3 linked regions of the Daphnia pulex genome follow. The protein of the gene in region 2 purifies or fractionates together with the protein of the main gene of each other region. This does not show direct contact. Links are inferred from orthologs where the notes say so. Each region holds a gene or a part of one and is shown on either strand. Other genes may lie near its edges.

The links.
Region 1: the proteins of intraflagellar transport protein 140 homolog (region 2) and WD repeat-containing protein 19-like purify together in Homo sapiens (co-immunoprecipitation; 3 studies listed by BioGRID and IntAct, with this or other methods). This does not show direct contact. The link is inferred for Daphnia pulex from reciprocal best matches to the Homo sapiens genes IFT140 and WDR19.
Region 3: the proteins of intraflagellar transport protein 140 homolog (region 2) and intraflagellar transport protein 122 homolog purify together in Homo sapiens (affinity purification with mass spectrometry; 4 studies listed by BioGRID and IntAct, counting the BioPlex papers as one, with this or other methods). This does not show direct contact. The link is inferred for Daphnia pulex from reciprocal best matches to the Homo sapiens genes IFT140 and IFT122.

What each region holds. Positions count from the first base shown.
Region 1 is NC_060017.1:216,787-223,966, forward strand, and holds the start of WD repeat-containing protein 19-like, read right to left. Parts: upstream 4,469-7,180; 5' UTR 4,330-4,468; coding exon 4,309-4,329; intron 4,247-4,308; coding exon 4,092-4,246; intron 4,030-4,091; coding exon 3,594-4,029; intron 3,515-3,593; coding exon 3,228-3,514; intron 3,153-3,227; coding exon 3,034-3,152; intron 2,891-3,033; coding exon 2,790-2,890; intron 2,708-2,789; coding exon 2,610-2,707; intron 2,543-2,609; coding exon 2,401-2,542; intron 2,337-2,400; coding exon 2,202-2,336; intron 2,138-2,201; coding exon 1,988-2,137; intron 1,923-1,987; coding exon 1,775-1,922; intron 1,694-1,774; coding exon 1,483-1,693; intron 1,417-1,482; coding exon 1,319-1,416; intron 1,243-1,318; coding exon 1,112-1,242; intron 1,041-1,111; coding exon 889-1,040; intron 826-888; coding exon 609-825; intron 532-608; coding exon 385-531; intron 332-384; coding exon 165-331; intron 95-164; coding exon 1-94. UniProt on the Homo sapiens protein: As component of the IFT complex A (IFT-A), a complex required for retrograde ciliary transport and entry into cilia of G protein-coupled receptors (GPCRs), it is involved in cilia function and/or assembly.
Region 2 is NC_060023.1:8,883,576-8,890,812, forward strand, and holds the start of intraflagellar transport protein 140 homolog, read right to left. Parts: upstream 3,844-7,237; 5' UTR 3,730-3,843; coding exon 3,601-3,729; intron 3,531-3,600; coding exon 3,306-3,530; intron 3,226-3,305; coding exon 3,081-3,225; intron 3,010-3,080; coding exon 2,825-3,009; intron 2,758-2,824; coding exon 2,317-2,757; intron 2,244-2,316; coding exon 2,054-2,243; intron 1,990-2,053; coding exon 1,767-1,989; intron 1,699-1,766; coding exon 1,584-1,698; intron 1,523-1,583; coding exon 1,083-1,522; intron 1,026-1,082; coding exon 842-1,025; intron 774-841; coding exon 608-773; intron 524-607; coding exon 403-523; intron 330-402; coding exon 53-329; intron 1-52. Other genes in the region: uncharacterized protein LOC124197929, read right to left, coding at 5,372-5,680, 5,755-6,088, 6,312-6,387. UniProt on the Homo sapiens protein: Component of the IFT complex A (IFT-A), a complex required for retrograde ciliary transport and entry into cilia of G protein-coupled receptors (GPCRs).
Region 3 is NC_060023.1:2,445,578-2,452,975, forward strand, and holds the start of intraflagellar transport protein 122 homolog, read right to left. Parts: upstream 4,425-7,398; 5' UTR 4,149-4,424; exon of another isoform or gene 4,084-4,148; 5' UTR 3,969-4,083; intron 3,763-3,968; 5' UTR 3,636-3,762; intron 3,580-3,635; 5' UTR 3,493-3,579; intron 3,431-3,492; 5' UTR 3,107-3,430; intron 3,035-3,106; 5' UTR 2,898-3,034; intron 2,841-2,897; 5' UTR 2,217-2,840; coding exon 2,158-2,216; intron 2,064-2,157; coding exon 1,954-2,063; intron 1,895-1,953; coding exon 1,774-1,894; intron 1,708-1,773; coding exon 1,497-1,707; intron 1,439-1,496; coding exon 1,359-1,438; intron 1,292-1,358; coding exon 1,213-1,291; intron 1,136-1,212; coding exon 938-1,135; intron 871-937; coding exon 782-870; intron 709-781; coding exon 600-708; intron 533-599; coding exon 395-532; intron 313-394; coding exon 10-312; intron 1-9. UniProt on the Homo sapiens protein: As a component of the IFT complex A (IFT-A), a complex required for retrograde ciliary transport and entry into cilia of G protein-coupled receptors (GPCRs), it is required in ciliogenesis and ciliary protein trafficking.

The sequences.
Region 1 (7,180 bases), on a different chromosome or scaffold from region 2:
GTTTTGACGGGCAACTTCAAATGCCGTTTCGTAGTTCTTTGACATAACTAGGTATTCTAAAGCTGTGGTATAGTCACCCAGTTCCATAAAGAACCTAAAACCAAAAAATTTGATATTAAAAATATTGTCAATGAAAATCTACATAATCGGTCGAGATCCCTTACTTTCCAATCAATTTGGCTCCCTCTGTGCTTTTGGATCTTCGTGCAATTCGCACAGCATCTTGTGGACTATGTAGTTGATTAAGACAAAGTAAGATTGCACTTTCAAAATCACCTGCCAGCTCGTATGAACTAAGCGCTTCTTTATACTGCCCTTGCGACTCCTTGGCCTGTGAAATTGGGAGATTAAATATCGATACACACAGAAAATCTATAAATTTACCTTTGCATAGGCGATGTGAACTTTAGGTTGCGTCACATATTGAATGAGCTTGCTCACTTGAGACCAATTTTTCAAACGAGTATACAGTAAAGCAGCCTGGTCTTTGTTGCCAGCAGTCTCATACAGTTCAGCTGCTTCCAAGAAATACTGCGATTGCAAGATAACCAAAGACAATATGGACAAGTTTCTTGGTAATTCATTGACAATTTAGGAAGAAAACAAACCTTATTGTCCTCCAGTATAGCGGCGCACTGTTTCATTAGAACACGATCGTTGGATTGAACGGCAAGAGAAATCCCTTTACGAATATCGCCAGATCCAACAGCGCTTCGAGAAATTCCCGATTGGCAGATACGTTGGTGTTCAGCCTGATCCGGCCCGTTTTCAACTCCTGCACTCATAGCACGCTCATAGTACAAGAGAGCATGAACGAAGTCGCCCCTAACCAATTACGTTGGTTTGTTAACAATATTTAATGGCCAGAAATAATTCATGAATTCTTACGTTTGTTCCAGCTGCTGAGCATATTCTCGAGCTATTACGCCGATCTTGTGCGGAGCTAGTTTTTCAGCTAAAAGCAAGGCTTGCTCCCATTCCATAACATCGGTGTACATGTCGATGGCAATCTCAGGCTGCGAAGACTTCAAATAACAATCCTTTTTACAAACCAAAATAATAATTTCATCAGCAGCAGATCAAAAAATTTAAACGAAATATTCCGACGTACTTGAGCTTTTTCTAAGTTTCCCAAAATCATATAAATGTGCCCAGAGAGCAACTGAAGGTCTTCAACATGCTGGATTTCTTCCAAAGACCATACCAGGGATATATCGCCCAGATGGCGGTAGATTCTAATTGCTATGGAAAAAATATATCAATGAATAAAAATCGTGTTTGGATTTATCGACGGAAAAGTTAACAAATAAAATTTTACCAAAATCTAGGCGAAAATCGTTAAGGGCTGCATTAGCTGCTTTGACCCACTGATTCGAATCTGCCAGTAGAATTCCAATATCCCACGCATCTTCATATCTGAAAATAAAATTCTCTTAATCAAATTTCAATCGTACATCAAGGAAGAACAGCCTCTCTTATTACTTTCCCATCGCCAAGGAGAACTGCAACGCATTTAATAACTCATTGCGGGACAACGACGACAATTTGCCGTTGGAGCCAATCCCAAGTTCGGGAATGAAAAGTGTCGTCAACTTGGAGGAGGCGGTAAGTAACAAAAGATCTGGTCCTTGAAGTAGGAGAGGAGTATGGCCACTTGCTAGAGGTGAAGAACAAAGTCGTATGATGCAACTCCCTTTAGAGTGAACAAAGTGCATGGGTGTAAGAATAGCAACGCATCAATTTTTAAAAATTATATCTTTTTTTAAAAACAAACCAGTAAGTCTCTCGGCGTGATAGACAAAGACGTCAAGCTTCTCGTCACTCCAAGCCACAAACACGTGACTAATCCGACTTGCCGACTCCCAAAGTAAGCCACGATGATGAACTGGGAAATCGGGAATCCTTAACAAAATTTCCTTGACCTAAGTGATAAAAACAAGTGTAAGTAGACAAGTAGATGAGGCGGTTTTTGTCATTTTCCCGATACCGGAGAGTAAAGGTAGCCGTGATTTTTTATATCCACAGCGGCTAGAAGTGTTCCTGATGTATCATGATAGATCTTTTTCCAACCAACTGCATGGCGATATTCACTGACAGGTTTCCGCTCACTCAGCGAAAAGTACACCAAATCGCCCACCTTATATTTCCGTTGCAATTGTGGTGAGATAATAAATAAAGTGACCACTTTTAGATTATCTTACGCTTGTAACGTAGACGAGACAATCCTTAGCCAACGCATGACTCCCGATCTTGGCTGTAGAGGATTCACGCAAGGGAAATACACCGCTATCCATCAGACCATTTCCTCCGTCACTCGAAAAAGAAGCTTCTTCTATCTAATAATGGATTAAAAACTAGTTATAAAATAATTTGAAATGGAATTTAATGGGGAAAACTCACAAGCTGCAAATGAACTTTGCCATCTACCAAGGCCGCAACGTGTGTTTCATTTAAACAAATCGATTCGACCGAGCCCGCATACTGCAACTTCCGTTGTAAATGACCATTGACCGCAGAGTAAAGCCAGACGTGATTGTTCAAACTATATCATGATCAATAGTTTTCTAATTAGTATTATAACTATGATTTATTAGATAATATAAGTTTACCCAAGTACAATGGCTTTCGGACCACAGGCCAAAAATACAGGCTCCAACTCACACTGCACATTGCAGATGGTATTAAGTGCAACGTCGTACACAGTCACCTGAATTGAGAAATACGGCAGTCACACGCAAAATGTAGTGTAACAGTGAGTTATAACAGACTATTCATATTTTAGATCCTACCTCTTTAAGACTGGTGAGTACAGCAATAGTGCCGAAAGGCTGCCAAACCGATGCTAGCATATTCAGACGAGTAAGGTAGATGTAGACGTTACCGGAACTACCTATGGAAATTTAATTAACCAAAGGGTTGTTAGGTAGGGTAGGTAGGTTAAATTGAATACTGTTACATGTTGCCATGTAATATAAACATGCACTATCACAGTATTACATAGCAGCAGAAAGATTGAAGAAGCTAATATAGTACCTGTGATGGCCAGAAGACGACCGTCATTACTCCACGCACAGCAATCAATTCGATTCTCTTCTTCAACAGAAATGACTGACACAGTTTCTTTTAAATCAAGTAAATCGTAAATTCTGGCACTGTTTCAACAAGAAAAATCAGCAAACAAATTATTTGAGGTCTTTGAATTAATGCTACGTATATGTTATTATTACTTGTTATCACCAGAACAAGCAGCCCGATTTAGTGACGGACAGATAGATATAGATGAGACCATGTCTCGATGGTTCCGTATCTGAAAGAGTTCTTGTCCTATCTCCTTCAAATGGGTGGAAATTGCGATGCAGTATCCTCCGGAAAAACCGATCAGAATATATCCGTCACCAAACCATCGATATGTTGTGATGTTACCATAATTTTGCTGAAAAGCTAATTCTAACGGGTTTTCTGCGTTATTAATGTTGATTAGAATTAACGTGCGACGACCCACCACAGCACTGATCTATACAATGGCAAAAAAAAAAAAAATAATAATATGAAGCGGGTTTCTTCTTGTTCAGAAATTAGATCGCATTCAATACCGTGCTCTCTGCTGTTGAACGTTCATCTTCTTTCATTTCAGAAAACTGGATTTGAGAGGGCTCATTTCTTAGGCTAGCTGTGTGGACAGTGTCACCTTCCAAGGTACTAACTGATAGAGTTTTATCTTCAGATCCCAGAGCCAGGAGATTGTCTGAACTCCATGCTCCTGTTACAATTCGCTTGCTATGTTTTCCTAGAACTGGAATTTTCCGTCCAGCCCTTTGATTGTATAAAAGAACATTTCCCTTTGATGTACCAATTGCTAGGAAAAGACCACTTTTGCCCCAAGCCATGAAACTGAGTGGATCTCTCAAACCAGTTTCAATCTTCTCAGTTTTAAGGCTAGTTGAGTTCCACATGTAAAGAAAGGAGCTGCTATCATTAATAGCTGCAAAGAAGTCACCCTCACAATCCCAGCCAAATCCTGTGCAGGACCTGTCAACAATAAAAGTATTTGTGAGCAATAAAATCAAACCATGTGGTTCCAGTAGCTATACCCAGGCATTGTGATCACAGATTTTTGGTTTCCAAAGTGGTCATATATATGTACGGTGCGGTTTGAGCCAGTAGCTGCCCAGAGAGTACCATCGTGTGTTTGCCATTCTAATTTTACGGTTCCAACGCCGACAGGGGCCTTCAAACTCAATATCAACTGATAGATAAGGGAAGAAATTAATTTCACGAACAAGACATAAACTTTACGGGCCTGAATACCTTTTCGGTGTTAAGGTGCATGATTATTTGTCGTTTAATTATCCATCTGTATATGTTTTTTTGAAAGTACTCTCGTTACCAAGCAATCACTTTGTAAACAAACGTTTTCTCACTTGTTTACATGGCCGCCGTTAGAGGTCCCTGGCAGCACCCTAAGAGAAAAATTTTCTAAAAAGCATTTTGCCATTTTGGTTGTTGTGAATGGAAAATAACGATTTTTCTAGATGAGATTAATTTTTAATTTATTGAAAAAACTGCATAAAAATAAACTATGATTGTAACAGAATATTAAAAAGTTTCAAATTTAGAAATTTTGTTGAAAGTAAGCAGACCGAAGCAGACAACTAAAAAATAATCGAGCAGTCTATCGATACGGAAGCAGACAAGTAGTTGTTGTGTTGACCCATCATTCCATCAACCAACAACATCAACTACGTTCTCATCGTTCAGACATATTTGAAAAATAGTGGTTTTATCTACTGCGAATCTCCTCCTGCCAACTTCTTTACAAGGACAACGGAATCTCCAAGTAAGAATTCGTCAAACATTCAATGTTTTATCGTGTGCCAATCGGTTTTCGACGTATTCGATATAAAATAGTCTAAAGAATCGAAAGTCTAGAGACAAAGTGTCAGCTACAGAAAGACTTAAAATCCTTCACAGTAAAACATAGACTAAATGCTATTCAAAAGAATTATTTGTTGTTTGTGTTATGGAGTCATGATCAGTAGTATTCGAGTTATCTTGTTCAACCTTATTGTTTTGTTATGGTTGTTGTAGACTTGTAACGAGGAATCTAGTGGTTTTGATTGCATTCCTAATATCGTCTGGCTCAAATAGATTTTCATGAAATTAAGGAATTATTATTTGTCCCTAAAAGTTTAGAAAAACATTCATTGTTACTTTGTTAGGTATGTAGTTACCTGTGCAGATGAAAGATATTAAAACTTGTCATTGAAATCGACTTTCCAGATTTCCATCTTTAAATCTAGAAGAAGGTTATCAACTGTGTTATTTGCAACAGCTATGTTGTAAGTCTTAGGCTATTTGCCAAAGAGAAGTTTCAGAGTCTTCCTCCATTTTTTCTTACTTACAGTTTTTTAAAGGAAAATATTTAGTTGGAATTAATTTTGGAGTGTTTTAGGCATTTAACAAACTACAAAAAAAAAAAACATTTTCATCCTCGTGGTTCTATTAATATTATTTCGTCATTATCCCACATAAGCAAGCCTAGCCGTACTTTCCATGAATTCTTTGTTTTACATGTTTCTACTGGGATGCCACGTCGAAGTTGAATGTGAGGATTTTCTAATTCATGGTGAACTGAATCTAAATTTTGTCGGATAACGGAGCCCACTTGGACGAGGAATATTTAAATTAAAAATCAATTCAAAAGGAATTGTCGTATGTTTTGATCTCGGCTGTTATGCGCGAAAGAAATGGGACTCAGTTCATACCGTGTTCTTGTGCTCTCTCGTGTTTGCATAAACTGCGTGCTGCTGGGTTAGAGATACCTCGTTCGTTCACTTGTTTGGTTCATTTCATTTGCTAGCCATTTAGAACTGCGCCGTTTTCTGCTGCTCGTGCCCCATTGCACTCTATTCACTAGTTAATTAGCAACGTGTCATCATTTCCCGCATTTTCTTTTTCAAATGAAACCACTTTTTCGATTGAATGTTTTCATGTTGGCTCATTAGTGGCTCTTTTGTCAAGGTTTGGCTTGAATCTACTGCCATTCATCAAATGAAGTGGCGTGTTGCAGTATGCGTAACGAAGGTTATGTTCCATGACGCCCTTGGCTGGTTCCCATAGCCCCTCGACTCATTATCGCCTTTCTGTCGCATAATGTCACTGTATACATTCGCAGACTTGCAGATTGCACTGCAAGAAGATGCGCCCAATCACCAGCTACAGGTTTTTTTAAAAGCCATATCCACTTTGGGCATCTGAGTCGATCATGCCTATGCCTCGTTGGGTTTCCATATTTTACTGTTGATTTTTCGCTTGGCAACTGGTTCCAAATCTCGAGATAATGAGGCTACTGTATAATACTTTGACTAAAGATCTACCGGTGCTTTAATAATGGTTCTGTCTCATTCTTGGAATCTACCAGGGTTTTCGGCGGGAAAAAGGATTGTTCATGACTGCTATCAGTTACGAACAAGAGAGAGGATATTAGGGAACAAGTCGAGTCAGCCGATTAGTGAAGGCTTTGTTGTATACCAAGGATTGGGGTCCACGAGATTTTCTGTACAAGCTTAGTAGTAGACGTTGACAATCTAGCGCTCGCATCTTCAAATAGTTTCTGGCTTCCCCTGACCGTATAGAAAACGGCTGGTGAAAGCGAACAGAAATCTCGTTCTTTGCTTCTTTCCGTTCATTTCAATCCCTCTAGTTGGGCTGGGGGTATTCTGTAATTTCGACCGAGGCTTTCTGTACTAGATTTTATCTATCGAGCAAGAGCGTGTCATCTCGAGACAAGAATCGGATCAGATGGCACATCACCCTTCCCCATTTTTCAGGTTGCGTAACATATACGAGTTTGCCCATTGCTGATTGTCCTATTCAGAGTGACTGCTATAGACATAATTATGACCCATTCTCTTTCGGTCGAACACAGATGTTTCTTTTTTGTTTTTGTGTGGCCATTTCTCGATCTACTCATTTCTTCGACTTTCCGAACCGACTTGTGTTTTGTTGCTGGTTGTGTCGTGTTGGCTGTTGTGGCGTTGGATGCACTACCAAGCCACCCTCTCCACTTATCGATTCGTTGCCAGACGGAGTGGGTGTGTCGACGACCTCTTTCACAACATCGTCATCTCGCTCTTACGTTGCTCTACAGCGGGAAAGGAAAGCGGGTGGCATGGCGTTA
Region 2 (7,237 bases):
AAAAGTCAAGTGTGCTTTCTCTCAAAAGGGGAATGATATGAATACTACATACTTTGCATAGACGGACAGCGTTACCGTAGGCGGCTGCCTGGCCAAAAAACTTCAAAGCCTCGGGAATGTTATCGTTAGCCTCGTGTTGCCGGGCGACGTGGAAGCAAGCTGCGCGGTCTTGGCTCTGTTCAGCCAACTCGGTCGCTCGATTCAAATCGCCCAAATAGCAATGAAGCCGCACAAGTGAAAGGTAGTCTCCAGCCCTGGCGTAGTGTTCTAGCGCCGTATCCATCTCTCCGCTGCTTTCCAGAAACTGAGCCCACCAACGAAGTCGTTCTCTACCGAGCAAACAACAATAACCTGATTAATAACCCCGTCACTTTACGAGGAATAAAAATTTAGAAAATGTACGGGTCTTGACTGGAAGTGCAATAATTCTGAAGGGCGGTTGTATCTTCGAATAGCATTCGTGGGACATCAAAATGATGGGTTTGACACTTTTCGTACATTTGGAGCGCTAACGTAGTATTTCCTACAAATAGAAAATCAATTATTTTTGAAGTGCTATAACCTAATCATGGCAGCTAATCAAGAAAAAGATTAACAAGATACGTACCTTCGCCTTCGAGATGACGAGCGTACTCGTAGTAAGTCCGTTTCAAGTTGATTCGATCTTTAGTGTGGGCCAATTGCAACGCTTCGTCCCATCGGTTAGAAGCCTGGTACATTCGGCTAAGAAGGTCGTAGCATAAAGATTGCTCGCACATCGCTTCCGCATCTTTCTGTAAAAAATAATATGACATCATTCAATTGTTGGGTTGAATAAAAGAAAGTTAACTCAACCACTTACTATCATGCCCAACTGGACGGCAAGAACAGCTGTAATTGCATCCACTTGGCCTAAATATTTCTCCTGGGCAGATCGAACCGCCGCAGCTGCCCTGGCGCTGCCTAATTTCCCCAAGCAAATTAGGCCGACGTCCGGTCGCCTCAATTGGACGCAGCTGCGAGCTAAGCTTTCCCATATTTTCGGACTGTATTCAAAAGTGTCGTTAGCCATGTATTTTTAAAAATGCTAACAGTCAAGTTACTTGGCAAAAGATCGCACAGCCTGATAGGCTTGCTCCACACGCCCACGTCTTAGGTGACAGCTGAATGATAACAATGCGTCGCGGGCTGCCTTATCACGGTGATCGTTCAGACTGGCCAAACTGTCTAGCAACCGCAAATGAATTTTCGTCGCTTCATCCACAATGGCGTAGTGAGGAAGTCGGACGCCAATGAGGTCGGTTGTCATGGGCACCACGTCTTGAACCAAAAGCTCTTCCTGTTCAGTTGGAACTAAAAGCGAAACCAAACAGCTGTTCTCTTTGCCTGCGATTTGGCAAACAACAATCCGGGGTTCATCTTCATCCCAGTAATGAACTTGGAGAACGCCTTGCTCCTCTGGCCATTCGGCGGCTACGTTAAAGGATTCGACCAAATTCATTGTGGTTCTCCACACGAACAATTTGGTTAGTCCTTCATCTGCCTGTCATTCAAAATTTAATTTGTTTTTAACACTTTCGTAAATAAATAAGTGGTTTACGTACATCGACTGTAAATGAGATGCAAGAGCCATCAATGTTGGTTTTCACGGAACGGAATCGCTCAAAACCAGCAACATTCGCTGTTACGTTTTTCGTGCTTATGTGTAGCTTTGGATCACTAAAATTCAAAATAATAGTTTATGTACAAGCGAAAGGATCTTACAATGAGTAAATTAAGCTACATACCTAGTAGTCACGTCCCATAGCTTGACGTAGCCACTAGTCGATGATGCGCACAAGAAGTTACCGAAGAGATCCAACGTTACGGGAGATCCTTCCGAGTCCATAAAGGATAGCGGGGGGCACACTACAGATCCTTGAAAATTCCGCATTTGGATCAACGGACCCTCTAGACAGAAACACGCTGTTTTGTGAAGCCGCACCATCAAGCATTCGCATTCAAAACTTCCTGTAACGTTCAAATAGAATAATTTCGTAATGAAAGTCGAATATAAAAAGAGACAAACACTTACCAATTGCAAAAGGTTTTTCGTTGGTGGTACCTACTCCCATCTGGTAAATGACCACTTTTGCCTCTCCCCACACTAAAAGGTGATTCTCACACAAGTCTATTCCGGAAATTCTTATTGGTAAATCCAGCTGAACAGAATTTGTTTGTCTTTGGACGGATACTACAGATGACGAAAGTTGAACGACACCAATCTAGACAAGAAAAATCCAATTGTTTTTTTAGATATTTAACCTTTTTTTTTTCTTGCAAAATACGGTAATTTACTTCGTTCCTGAAAGCGACTGATGGTTGCTGCTGGACAATTTGATAAAGGCTAGATCCATTATGTACAAAGAGATATTTTGCTCCCCAGACGGAATGTTCGATAGAACCGCCAGAGAGGCCAACCAGACCGATGAAATGCCAATCATCTTCGGGAGTGTGAATGTCGTTACGATTATTGTTGTCTCGCCAAAAGACGATGCCACCCAAATTAGTCGCAGCGGACAGGAGAGCGTGGGTTTTATCGGGCAGGTAGGCAAGTGTGGTGAAATGTTCCGCTCCAGAGTGAAGAGTAAGCTCAGCTACGTCAGGCAGTGGCAAGAGGAAAGTATCGTTGCTTTGGCAGTTCCACAAACGGATTGTCAGATCGCCACCGGTCAGAGCAATCATATTTTTATTCAACCACGTCAGCTGAATTAATTGAGATTTCCCGCTTATTTTCACCTGAGAGAAGAAACGGAATTGATTTATTCAGAGGTTTAAAAAATAAGTAAACGCACTGTTTATGTACCGTGTTTAGAAGTTCAATGACTTTAGTTCCGTCCTTCAATTTATTTTTTCTGAAAACAGAAAGAAGTCCACCAGAAGTTAAAACACAAAGAGAATCTTCATGGTTGACAATATTTTGAATGGCCTTTTCCATTCGAACAACTTCTGTACATGCTGGGCCATCTTGAACAGCATGATAGATAGCACCTGAATTACATCATTTTTGATAGAAAACATGTCAGATTAATGAGGTTAAAAATTTCAACCAATATTCTCACCAGAGGAGCTTCCAATGAAACTCTCCCAAGGTGGTGCAGGCAATCTAAAGCAAGTCAGTTGAGAAGGTGTGTCTTTTATATCATGTTCAGTTATCTTTTGGAAATGGTTATCTTTGGAATGATTCCAGACTGTTAGAATACCATTCTGTGGTTACGAGGAATTGGAGAGAAAAATGAAAATAAGTCTAAATGTCATTAACCATTACTTTTTCATATATTCATTACGCTATTAAGGCTTAAAAGCTGATTTTCATTTGCCCAACAGAGAAACCTAACTGGGTGTTTTTGAACAGTTGGAACTTTTATCTCCTTCAAAATTTTTGTATCCAGGATGAGGGTGTAAATTTCCCCAATATCTGAACCAACAGTGACGACAGCAAGAGTAGGATGCCATTTGATCGATACAAGTTTAGAAGGGCTTTTCCAAGGACAGCCATGTAAAAGAGCACTCTAAAATTCCATTATAACACGCAAAGTTTATAGTAGATTACATATATTTGAACCATATTGTATTTCTCACCTCCTGGAATATGTACAGCTGGTTGTCGTCAGTTATGACAGCCGTGTAATTCAAAGTCGAATGAGAAACGAGGTCTTCCAAAACTTTTCCGTCGAGGTGAACTAACAACCTTTCTACAAAAATTGTCATTTTAGATTTCTTTACCAAATTACAACCAAACGGTTGCGAAAAACGTCACGAGATTCAAATATTCTAGTCCATACATTGTGTTTTCAGGAAAACATGTGTTTCCATGGAAACCCAATCCAGATGGCAACGTCGCAAAACACACCCCTGAATCCTGAAATTCAAAACGAGAAAAGGAAAAAAGGCAAAACAGATGCGATTCAGTCACTATTTATTATTCAATAGGTAAAAAGACCTTGTTGAGAAACGAGACCGACGTCTATATGTTATGTAAGAAAAATAACTAAAACAATACAGTGGCAATCTAGTGTGTTTTGTTTTAATACAAACGACTGATAGAAATAACGCACATTGAAGAGGCTGAATAGATCGGCTTCAAACACGACACACTCAGCCCCTAAATTCGTTTTTGACATCTCGTCAGAAGTTAGGTTCCCCCCATATGACACAATTTAGCAACAACGGCAACAACATAGGCACCAAAGGTATATATATAACATCGACGTAATAATTATATAAGAAAAGGGAGAGAGAGAGATAGAGGGGAGGGGGATGAGGAAAGCGTGACTACATGTGTATACATGTCATGCTTTGCTGTGTTAATAGGAGCACAGTGTAGATGAATTCCAACGAGGGAGATATTACATGAGACACATTATTGTAGGAATTGTAATGAAACAGCAGACACACAAGTCATTCGGTAGATAGTGGAAGACACTCTACAGCTATATGATATATCAAACTCAAATGCTTAAGACACGTACACAGCGACACATGAAACGAAGAGGGTGGCAAAATGGGAGGATATGATTTGAATCGGTACGAATCACCCGACCGCATTCTTATTTTGACCGACTTGGAAACTTGCAGATTTCGATTATCGAAAGATCATAATCCCAACAACTCGTAGTTTTTTTTTGTTTTTTTCACCTTCAATCCACAACAACAGCAACAACAAGAGGATAGACCAAACACTGTACAAAGCACGGGAAGGTAGGGGGGAGGGGCTTGTCAGAGATGAAGAGAATGAAAATTTAACACCGATATATAAAAATCTCCAATCGAAATACGATTTACCCGCACCATGACGCTACTACAGTGCCACACAATTTTGTTTAACTTGTTTCTGTTGGCGTGTGAAGGAAATGAAAATGAATCAGGAAAATCGAAAAGAAAACAAACAATCAGTAAGCCAATGACAAAAAGAAGAATTGACGTGATGATGACAGCGAAAAGAATTGGTTTCGCTTTGGTTAAGAACCAAAACGACACATTGAACAGCGCGGTAAATAATTAACCCCGAGAGACACAATTACAACAAAAAAAAAATTACACTCATCAATTTAATTATTTGCTTTGCATATAGTTGGCGTTTGAAGGAGAAAAAAAACTGGTGGAATAAATCCATCGTGTGTGCGAGCGGTTCATTGTATACAGAGTGCGGAGGATATGGATTGGTGTTGACGTGCCGGTCAGAAAACCTTTTTTTTTTGTAACTTGGTCGAGATAGATTCTCATGTGTATAGCTGATTTGTGTACGTGTTATTTTCCTGTTTTTCTCCATTCTCCATGTCTACTCTTCGCGAATCAAAAAGCAGGATACAGTTAAAAAAAGGGGAAGTCGTACGGGCCCGACATCCGTCGATCATGCCGACAGCTCCATACGATCCAGCGATTCTGGACTGAGCGATTCGTCCTCTTCGGACGGCTGGTAGTTGCGATCCTGCGACAGGTCGGCGCCGCCCTGGTGGGGGTGGTGATGGTCATCCGGATGGGTTTCGAAATGGCCGATCAGATGAGTGTGAGACTGATTGGCGGAAGCGTGAGAGCTGCTAAGTAGAGGATCTCCTCTGGTCGCCTGGTTGAAATCGTCTTCCATAAAGTCGTCCAGTGACGAGAATTCGCAAGCGACAGCCAGGCCACTTCCGCCGATCTCCGGAATCAAGTCGGGGACCTTGATCATTTCAAATTTGATTTTAGTCATAAATAAATTCAATTGTTAGGACTCATCGCGAAATATGTTTATACTTTTCGGAATGAGTTGTCGTCACGGGGCTCCGTCTTGATGTAAGGCGGAGTGGATGGCGTTAACGGGGCCGACGTCAGGTGCGGATCGGTCCAGGTTCCTTCCGAATCGGAAGCCGGCAGCGGCAGTCCGTGCGTTTTGGCTTGGAGTTCCAGCTGCTGGATCCGGAGCAGTAGCCGCCTGTTTTGCAATTCCAGCTGCCTCTGTCGGGCCTCGTTTTGGGCCAGACGGTCGCGGTCGTGTCTCAGCCGGCGGATGTAATCCACCGAGGCTTTGAGGATGCCTCCCTTGTTCTGGCGGACGTCGCGGAAGCAGTCGTAGTACCTGCACATATCACTATAATCTTTTAAATACTAGGAAGAACTTTGCGACGAACGACTTAGTGCTACAGCAAGTCCCCCGATCATCAATCAAAATTGTTCTGGACAATCAATTGTTTATCAAATTAAATTAGACCAATCACATTGATATGAAATGCCATAATAAGTGAATGATCGAGCCACTTGAATAATTGATAAAACATGATATCGATTCTCATTTGAAATGGAAATGAACGTACGGGTCGTTACTCTTCGGTAGCAGAGTGCCCAGCTCCTTGATCCGGTCATTGATGTTGAACCTGCGCCTCCGCTCAACTGTTTAAAACAAAAAAACAAAAATAACAATTAAGACCTTTTCTGTTGATTGTTTTCCGGCTACTGGTTTCTTTTTGTTCCATCATTTACAAGGGAAGAAACAAACTGATAATAAATAATGGATGCGGACAGTACGGCGGCACACGAGCGCCGGAAGTGCGGCGCAGCAGTTACGACTTTTAATGTCTCTATCTTCTTCTTCATTTTTTGTTGTTGTTTTACATCTTAATTTATTTGATCATTTTTATGGTTTTATGGATGAGAGCGCTATGGGAGGGATTATAGAAGGTTCAAAAGGTTGCGTCAATACAATCACGGCGGTCCTGGTTCATTTTTTGGAGTAGTTTCAGGGAGTCCGAACAGGTTCGAACGGGATGCCAACTAACGAGGCAATCAAACGGCGGACAGACAATTTCAGACGACGGCCGTGATGTCAAACGAGAGATCTGGAGATGAGCGGGTCAGTTAGAATAATATGTTTGGCCACACAATCGACAACGGATCTTCACGGTGGACAATAAGAGAAAAACAAATGACGAATCAAGGTGAATTGTATCATGATTAGAATAGTATGATAATAATTCAGTTGGCCGCGATCTGCTTATATAACCAAAAAGTGGATTGCGCGCTGGCTGAATCAAAGAGTGGGAAGGGAGAAGAAAGCCAAGTCGATTGTTTGTTATTTGTGACTGTCCATTGCAGAGATTGAGACGAAGAGTCTTAAGAGGCAATCGTCTATTGACGATGAGCCAAACAAACAACTGATTAAGATCCCAATGTTGAAATGGAGAACAACAACTCGGTCCTTATTATTGACCCAAGAAATAAAAACAGGGCCTGCAACTAATTC
Region 3 (7,398 bases), about 6.4 Mb from region 2:
TGGAACTACCTGAGAAATCAATTCACTGTTGCTCAATTGATAGACGGAGCAGGTATTGTTGTCATCTACAATGGCCACCTTTTGGCGTGAAGAGCTCAAGTCCAGGCAGCGGATAGGGACACTGATCTTGAGCAACTCCACCGGGAAAGGGTTATCTAAAAATATTTTGGACACCTGGCCATTCTTCAAGCCTAGCAGGAGACCCTCTTTGTTGGCCGGTCCGCCGACGATTTTTATGTAGCGCACGGGTGAATCTAACGTCCACTCGCGTTCCTTGACGCCCTGAAAGTTCACCGACTGCAGTTTCTTTTCCTGAACGAAACAAAACAAAATACCAGACAGATGTGATACGTTAGATAAAAATTTTGCAAAGAAAATCATATAAAAGATTTACGTGACACAGAATGATGTGGTTGGTACAAATGACCATAAGGCTGCATTCGAAATTCTGGCTGATTTTTTCCTTGATGACATAGTGCAGCTGTTCGCCTTCCTGTTGCTCGTAAATCATGAGTTTTTCTTGCAGCTGGACCTAGAAGAATCCAACAATAACAAGACATCATCATCCGGTCACATATTCCTGCCATTGCACGACATACCGCTAAGCGATTTTTGTAGATGGCGATTTTCTTGATAAGGTCACGGCAACAGATGCGCACTTTTTCCTCCGTCAGTAAGTGGTGGACTACCACGTCTGTCAGATGTTCTCTATTTTTCGAAATAACAAAGTAAAACGGCATTGTAAATTAAGCCCATTCACACGATCCTTATTTAGCAATACCTGAATGCGTAGCGTTCTTTATAGAGACCGTGAACGGTGCTAAATATCAGCTGGTGACAACCGACTGTTCCGTCTTCACTGCCAACGGCCTACAAGCAACGGATAAGAATTTTAACGTTTAAAAATTTTAATATGTCAAAATTTTGAATGGCTTACCACAACTGTGCTGTTTTGTTTGGTTGCCGTCGCCCAGACCCACTTGCTACACTCAGCTATGGGACCAAGAGCATATCCTTCGCTACTAAAGAGCTGACACTGTCGGTTGGATCCACAGACAAGCAGATAGTCACCACCAGCGTGACGATAAGGAACTATTCGGCAAGCGTTGAAACCCAAAGGTTTCTCCGAACGGATCTAGTAAATTCATACAATAACATTAAATTTTTAGAGGAAAGCACTTGTTGAAACAATGATATCTGATATACTCATACTTGTTTTCCGTTGGGGAGGTGGAAGGATAACGTTCTGTTACCCCAATCCGTGACACAAAGCATTTCTGCTTGGTCAGTCCTACCAAAAGAGATTGTTTTTAAATGACGAGAGGGAATTAAATTAGCATTATATAAATAATATGTACCTGTTGATGTTCCAGCACAAGGCCCATACTGGTGACTGATTGCCTCCTGGTCTTTCAATTTTAGATTTTTCATCTCCAGACTAAAATTCAAGAGTTATGAGTTATCATGAAGTTTAAAATGTCAATTTTTGTGTATACTCTGTTTCGGATGGATATTGTGCCATTGGCCAAACCTAAGGCTAGCAGGGTTCCATCATCATTCCAAGAACAAGAACACACTCGTGAACTGACTCTGTATTTTTGGACATTCTTCTGCTCAGGACTCCACAAACCAAAGTCATTAGAGGAGCAACTGGCAAGAATAGGGCTAACTGGATTGTAGGACACACATTGAATTGTTTCATTGTGCCTATTGTGGAATATGAAATCAAAACAATAATTTTGATTCCTACATTTTTAGCTAATTACTACTTACGAATATTTGAGAATGGCTTCCATGCCACCCGTCCAAATGATGACATTCTTGTCAGCACCACCAGAAGCAAAGCGCTTTCCATCTTTAGCAAAGGCTACACAATACACAATATCCTTGTGCCCTAAAATAGATGGTAGTATAAGGATTTAACAGGAAAGTTTTCGATTTAAGACACCTTACCTTTTAAAGAATGAAGCAGTGTGCCTGTTAAGGCCTCATACACAAGCACTTTGTTCCCTGCTGCAGCAATCAGTTGAGTACCATCAGCGCTGAAGCACAGATCGTATATCCTGTAAAATGTTAATGTATTCACGTTAGACCGTTAACGCATACAAATGAATGAATGATAAAGAGATATCAATAGGAATCAATCATAACACTTACTGTTGCTCTGAATTATCGCGGGTATGGACCTTGTCCACCCAGATAGGCACTGTTCTCATTATAACTGGAATTCCGATTTACATATCAGGTTAAGCTGACATTAGATCATTCAAAACGTGTTTACTATTGGTTTACTCGATCGAATCTGACAGATAGGTGGTTGAAACTTTTTGTTTGTTAACAACGATCACCAGGGCAACGACTCGAAGTCTCAAAGCAATTATGAATCTTGTCGTCGTACAAAATGCTTCTGCTAGATGGCGTGAAAAACGCGCTAAATGATCCAAATTCAAATCCTTGCCTTAAATTAACATACGAGTTTCTGTAAAATAAAAAGTATAAAATTTTCGTCGCTTTCTTCTGCTACACCTTGTATAAAATTATTCAGTAATTCTAGTTTTTTTCAATTTAAAGGATTTCAAAATAGGCCTACTACCACTGGATAACGTCACAATTTTCAGCCGACATGAAATTAATTATCAACAAAAAACAATTAAGCACGTTAACTACAGGTAACGACTACATTAAAAATTACTGGGGATCTGACTAATTACAGATCAAAAAGTTTCAGATCACTTGGAAGGACCGCACTAGCGAGCTATCAGATGCTTAAGGATTTGGTTTTCATTCGGAGAGTCGTAGAATAACAAAATTGTGATGATTTGCTTCTAGTATCTCACAAGCTAAATAATTAAGAAAATTAATTAACTCCTGTAAACAATGGTATCAATATAACTTACGAATTTGATCAAATGGAATGTTGCCCATTTCTGGACCAACGGAAAATGGATCACTTATTGATTCTTTACACACGTGTTTTTTTACAACAAATTCAATGCGTCGGACGTGAAGAGACTTGAAACACTTCACTCATGTCCTTATTTCAATTAACAATAAATAAAATTAGAGAACCAATTGATACGAGAAAATGACAAAAAGAGTTGTTTACCAGATTTTTTTTTAGATACGCGCAATAACGATGAAGACATGATGATGAAGCAGAGGTTGATTGGCACTTGGGTCTCCGGTTCTCTGCGTACTTTTACGTAAAGATCTTGACCTTCAGGTGGAATCATTCCCAACCTTCTGGTAGCTCTGCCTTCTGCGATCTATTGATGACCTTTTGGCAATTTGGTTCTAAAGAATATCATGTGGCCAACTGGTCATGCATCCGAGAACACAGCTATCCGCTTATTGATGTTGCAAACCCAACACGCAATTGTTCCGACAATTGTTTCTTGTCATAACTAGATGCATGTCAGCTTAGTTAGTTCTACAAGATGTATTAAAAAGAATAACAAGTAGCATAAGTAGCATTATTTAAATAATATGTACCTGTTATTGTTTCAGCACAAGGCCCATGCCGGTGACTGATTGCCTCCAGGTCTTTCAATTTTAGATTTTTCACCTCCAGTCTCCAGACTAGAAAACAAATTGTAAATTATCAGGAAGCTGAAAATGCCAATGTTTATTTATACCCCAGTGTAAATGCTGTTTCAGATGGACCCTTGGCCAAACCTAAGGGCTAAAGCCAACAGGATTCCCATGTTATTATTTGTCATAATTCCAAGAAAAAGACTGCAGATTTTTGGATATTCTTCTGCTCTGGTTATCAATAAAAAATCAGAATAATCAAAGGTCATTAGAGGAGCAACTGACATTGCAAATTAGAATAGCTAGAGGGGTGTGATTGGATTACCAAGAAACACATTGAATTGTAAACATTGTGACTGAAAAAGATTCTGACTTGAAACAAGAAATGGTAACAACAATCATTCTGATTTCCATATTTCCAATAAATTGCTACTTACAAGTATTTTAGAATCATTTCCAGGCCACCAGTCCAAATGATGACATTCTTGTCAGCACCCCCCCAGAAGCAAAGCGTTTTACATTTTTAGCAAAAGCTACACAATAGTCATTGTCCTTGTGCACAAAAATAAACAGTAATTGGATTTCACAAAAAGGTTTATATTTCTAAGAAATCTTACCTTTTAAAGAATGAAACAGTGTTTCTGTTGATAAGGTCATGTTACTCATGTAATACTAGTGTCGTTAGATGATATGATAAAGTCAAAACGTGGTTCACTTTTGGCACCATTTTTACTTGATCGAATTTAACAGTTGGCTGTTTGGCTGGTTGAATGAAACGACATATTGTTAAGTTGTTTTGTTTTGTTGGTAACTCGACGCCAACGATTCGACGGACAAGTCTGGAAGCGTTTCAATCTTGTCACGAAACTTTTGATACATGACGTGAAAAGGTGCCAAATGATTCCAATTCATCCGTAAACGTGAAGTTAATTAATCGAACCATCACGACCATAACGAAGAAAAATGAGCACATAATTCATATCATTTTCTGTTTTCGAGGATTAAAGTAATTTCTAATCTTTCCATTTTGCAAACCAACCCTCTTTTAACTTGTCACTTAAACTAAATAATTTATTCCAAAGTAAAAAAAAAAACGAAAAGCATAGCTCGATTCCTGAATTCAAATAAAAAACCAATTCGTGCAAACACATTTTGTTCCTTTTTCTACTAGTAGATGGCGTGGCAGAGCGCTAAATGATGTCAAATTCAAAACCCGACTCATTTCCCCGTGTCTATATAATCTCGCGTAACGAATCGGCTCCTTATTATTTAAAAAAAAAGCTCGAAAATATCCAATCAAGGTCGGCGAAAAAAAACTACGACCGATAGCACACTCCACTCTCTCTCCTTGTTAAAATGGCACATTCGAGCCATCTGTTTAACAGTCCGAAAGAAGGAGACTTTCCCAATTTCCTTTTTTCTTTCCTTCACAATCCAACAGCCGGACAGCATAAATAGTCAGACATAATCATCGACCTTTTACTGATTAAGGGCAAATGGGTCTTCTGCTTTCTTCCCTTTTGTTTCTTTTCTTATTTTTTTAATGACGGCTATTGGAATCGATAATTTAAAAAAAGGCGACTCTTATCTCAAATTTCCTCATTGCTTTTCTCACCATCCCCCCACCATTTTAAAACGAAAAATTTTCGTACAACACCAAAGAAAAAAAAAGGTCTCATTTCTTCACAAGGGGGGCGGTGCTTTCGTGTTGGGACAAGACACAAAGAAAAGCCAAAAACTTTTGAATCTATCCGAAACAAAAAAGTTTTTTCCAAACTTGATGTGCTCAACCGCGGTCAATATGGACAAAAAAGTTCTAAAGGTGGAATTGGGTGGGAGGATAATATAGAAGGTGGTATAGAAGGGGGGTCCCTTTCGCCGCTTGTGTTTTATTTCTGATTCTTTTCGCCTTTTTTTTTTCCTTTTCGCCGACAAAGAAAAAAACTCCTGGAGACGATACTCCTCAACCAGAAGAAGAAGAAGAAGAACCTGGCGATTAATTAACACGGCAACAAGCGACTCTCGGCGCTCGCGCTCCACAAAACTATCCGCAAAAAAACACGAGAAGGAGAAAGGTCTATCTATACATCTATATATCGCCCTTTTAGTTGATGTGTATAAATATAACCTGTGCTGGCTGGCCAGAGCAATGGACACATACAACACAACAATGTGTCTACTTATAAGAGAAGTTCCCCTCTCCCGTCAAAAAAAATAGTAGATAGATGTATAAGATAGAGCTAAAAGAGCACACAGCAATTATAGTTTCTTTTTTGGAACCTGGGCAAGCAGTTAATTTGGTAACGACCCGTGTGGCTGTGTGGCTATGCCAAGGTCGAAATTCTTTCAGGGGAAAAAAAATTTGAAATCCTTTCATTCCTGGTGTTATTAATGTGATTATAACAGTTAGTCACCTCCACATCAGCTGATTTAGCGTCGTCCAAGAATTTCGAAATTACAATAACTTGACAGGCTCAAATTTGATACATTTTTTTTAATAGCTGGGTCTCCGTTAGATTTGAATATTTCTAAAAAACTATCAGGGTGGAGCCCCCCACAGCAGCATTCAACAACGTAAAAGGGGATACGCATATATAGGACGTCGTCGTAAATGTTGTGAGGGACGAGTTATACTATATATATATCGAAGGATTTATAGGATTCATTACCAGCTCTCCACGGGGACTGTACTACGTCTAGTTTTCCCTACCATTCTTATTATTTTTTGATAAAATATTTGAATTTATTTTTTTACCTTCTGTAAAGGGAGTGTTTCGACCCCCGGTCTATCCCCCAACAACTCGATGGGGGGAGTTGTTCGTTCTTGTAGAGGCTACTACCATCTACACCGGTGGCTATTCATCATTGAATGATCAAACAGAAAAGGGCAGCATATAAAAGAAATCTGAGAAAAAAAATTTTTATTTTGATTATATTGCGTCCAGTTTGAAACCAAAGGAGGGGGGAGAAAAAACATTTAATGTATTGACAACCCAGATATTATTATGTGTGTGTGCTACATATAATAACCTATACCATGCTCAAGCGCATCACGTCTGTAGAGAGAGTTAAATAGATATAACCACCTGCTGGGGGAGTTGGTTATCTGGAAAGCCGATTGATGATCGCGTCTTTTCTTTATATTCATCCCCTGGACAAAATTTATTTTTCTTCGGTTATTTGTTCACTGGGGTCAGCTGATGATTGGAAGTTATTACTATCGATCTATCGGGGTTTACACAAGACACGACGGAGATTATTTATATTACATATAGGCATGGCGGGGTTAGTTATATTGGTCGTCGCTACGGTCGCTCTGTATGAATATATCAAACGATTCTTTTATGGAAATCAACTATAACAAGAGCTGCGGCCATTTTGACGTGATCATATATTTTTCACACAAAGCTCACACAAAGTTTCTATAAGCGCAGTCCAACTTGATATCGCCCAGATGACGTCACGCCCCCGTCTCCGTGTTCTTTTCCCCGCTGGCCAAAATTTAATTTCAAACCGCGCCAAAAAACCAGTTTTTGAAAAAAATAAAAATAAAAAAAATGTTAAATCATTTCTGCGCGCCACCCAGAGCTTGTGTGAGCGTATATAATGTTTGTCTCTGAGCCAAATGGAAAAAAAACAAAAGAAAAAAACAGATGGGACCGCGCTAGAGTTATGAAAAAAAAAAGAAGGAAGGTCTCGCTGTGTGTGTATGTGCTGCGCTTGGGCAAACTGTCATCATCATCATCATCATCATCGCCATCGTTTTCTGACGAATAAATTTCCCTCATCCATCAAGTCGGCTCCCGAAAGGTTTCAAACTTCGCCTCTCTCTGCTCGCAACTGGCTGTTGTTCTACGTTTTTCCCCC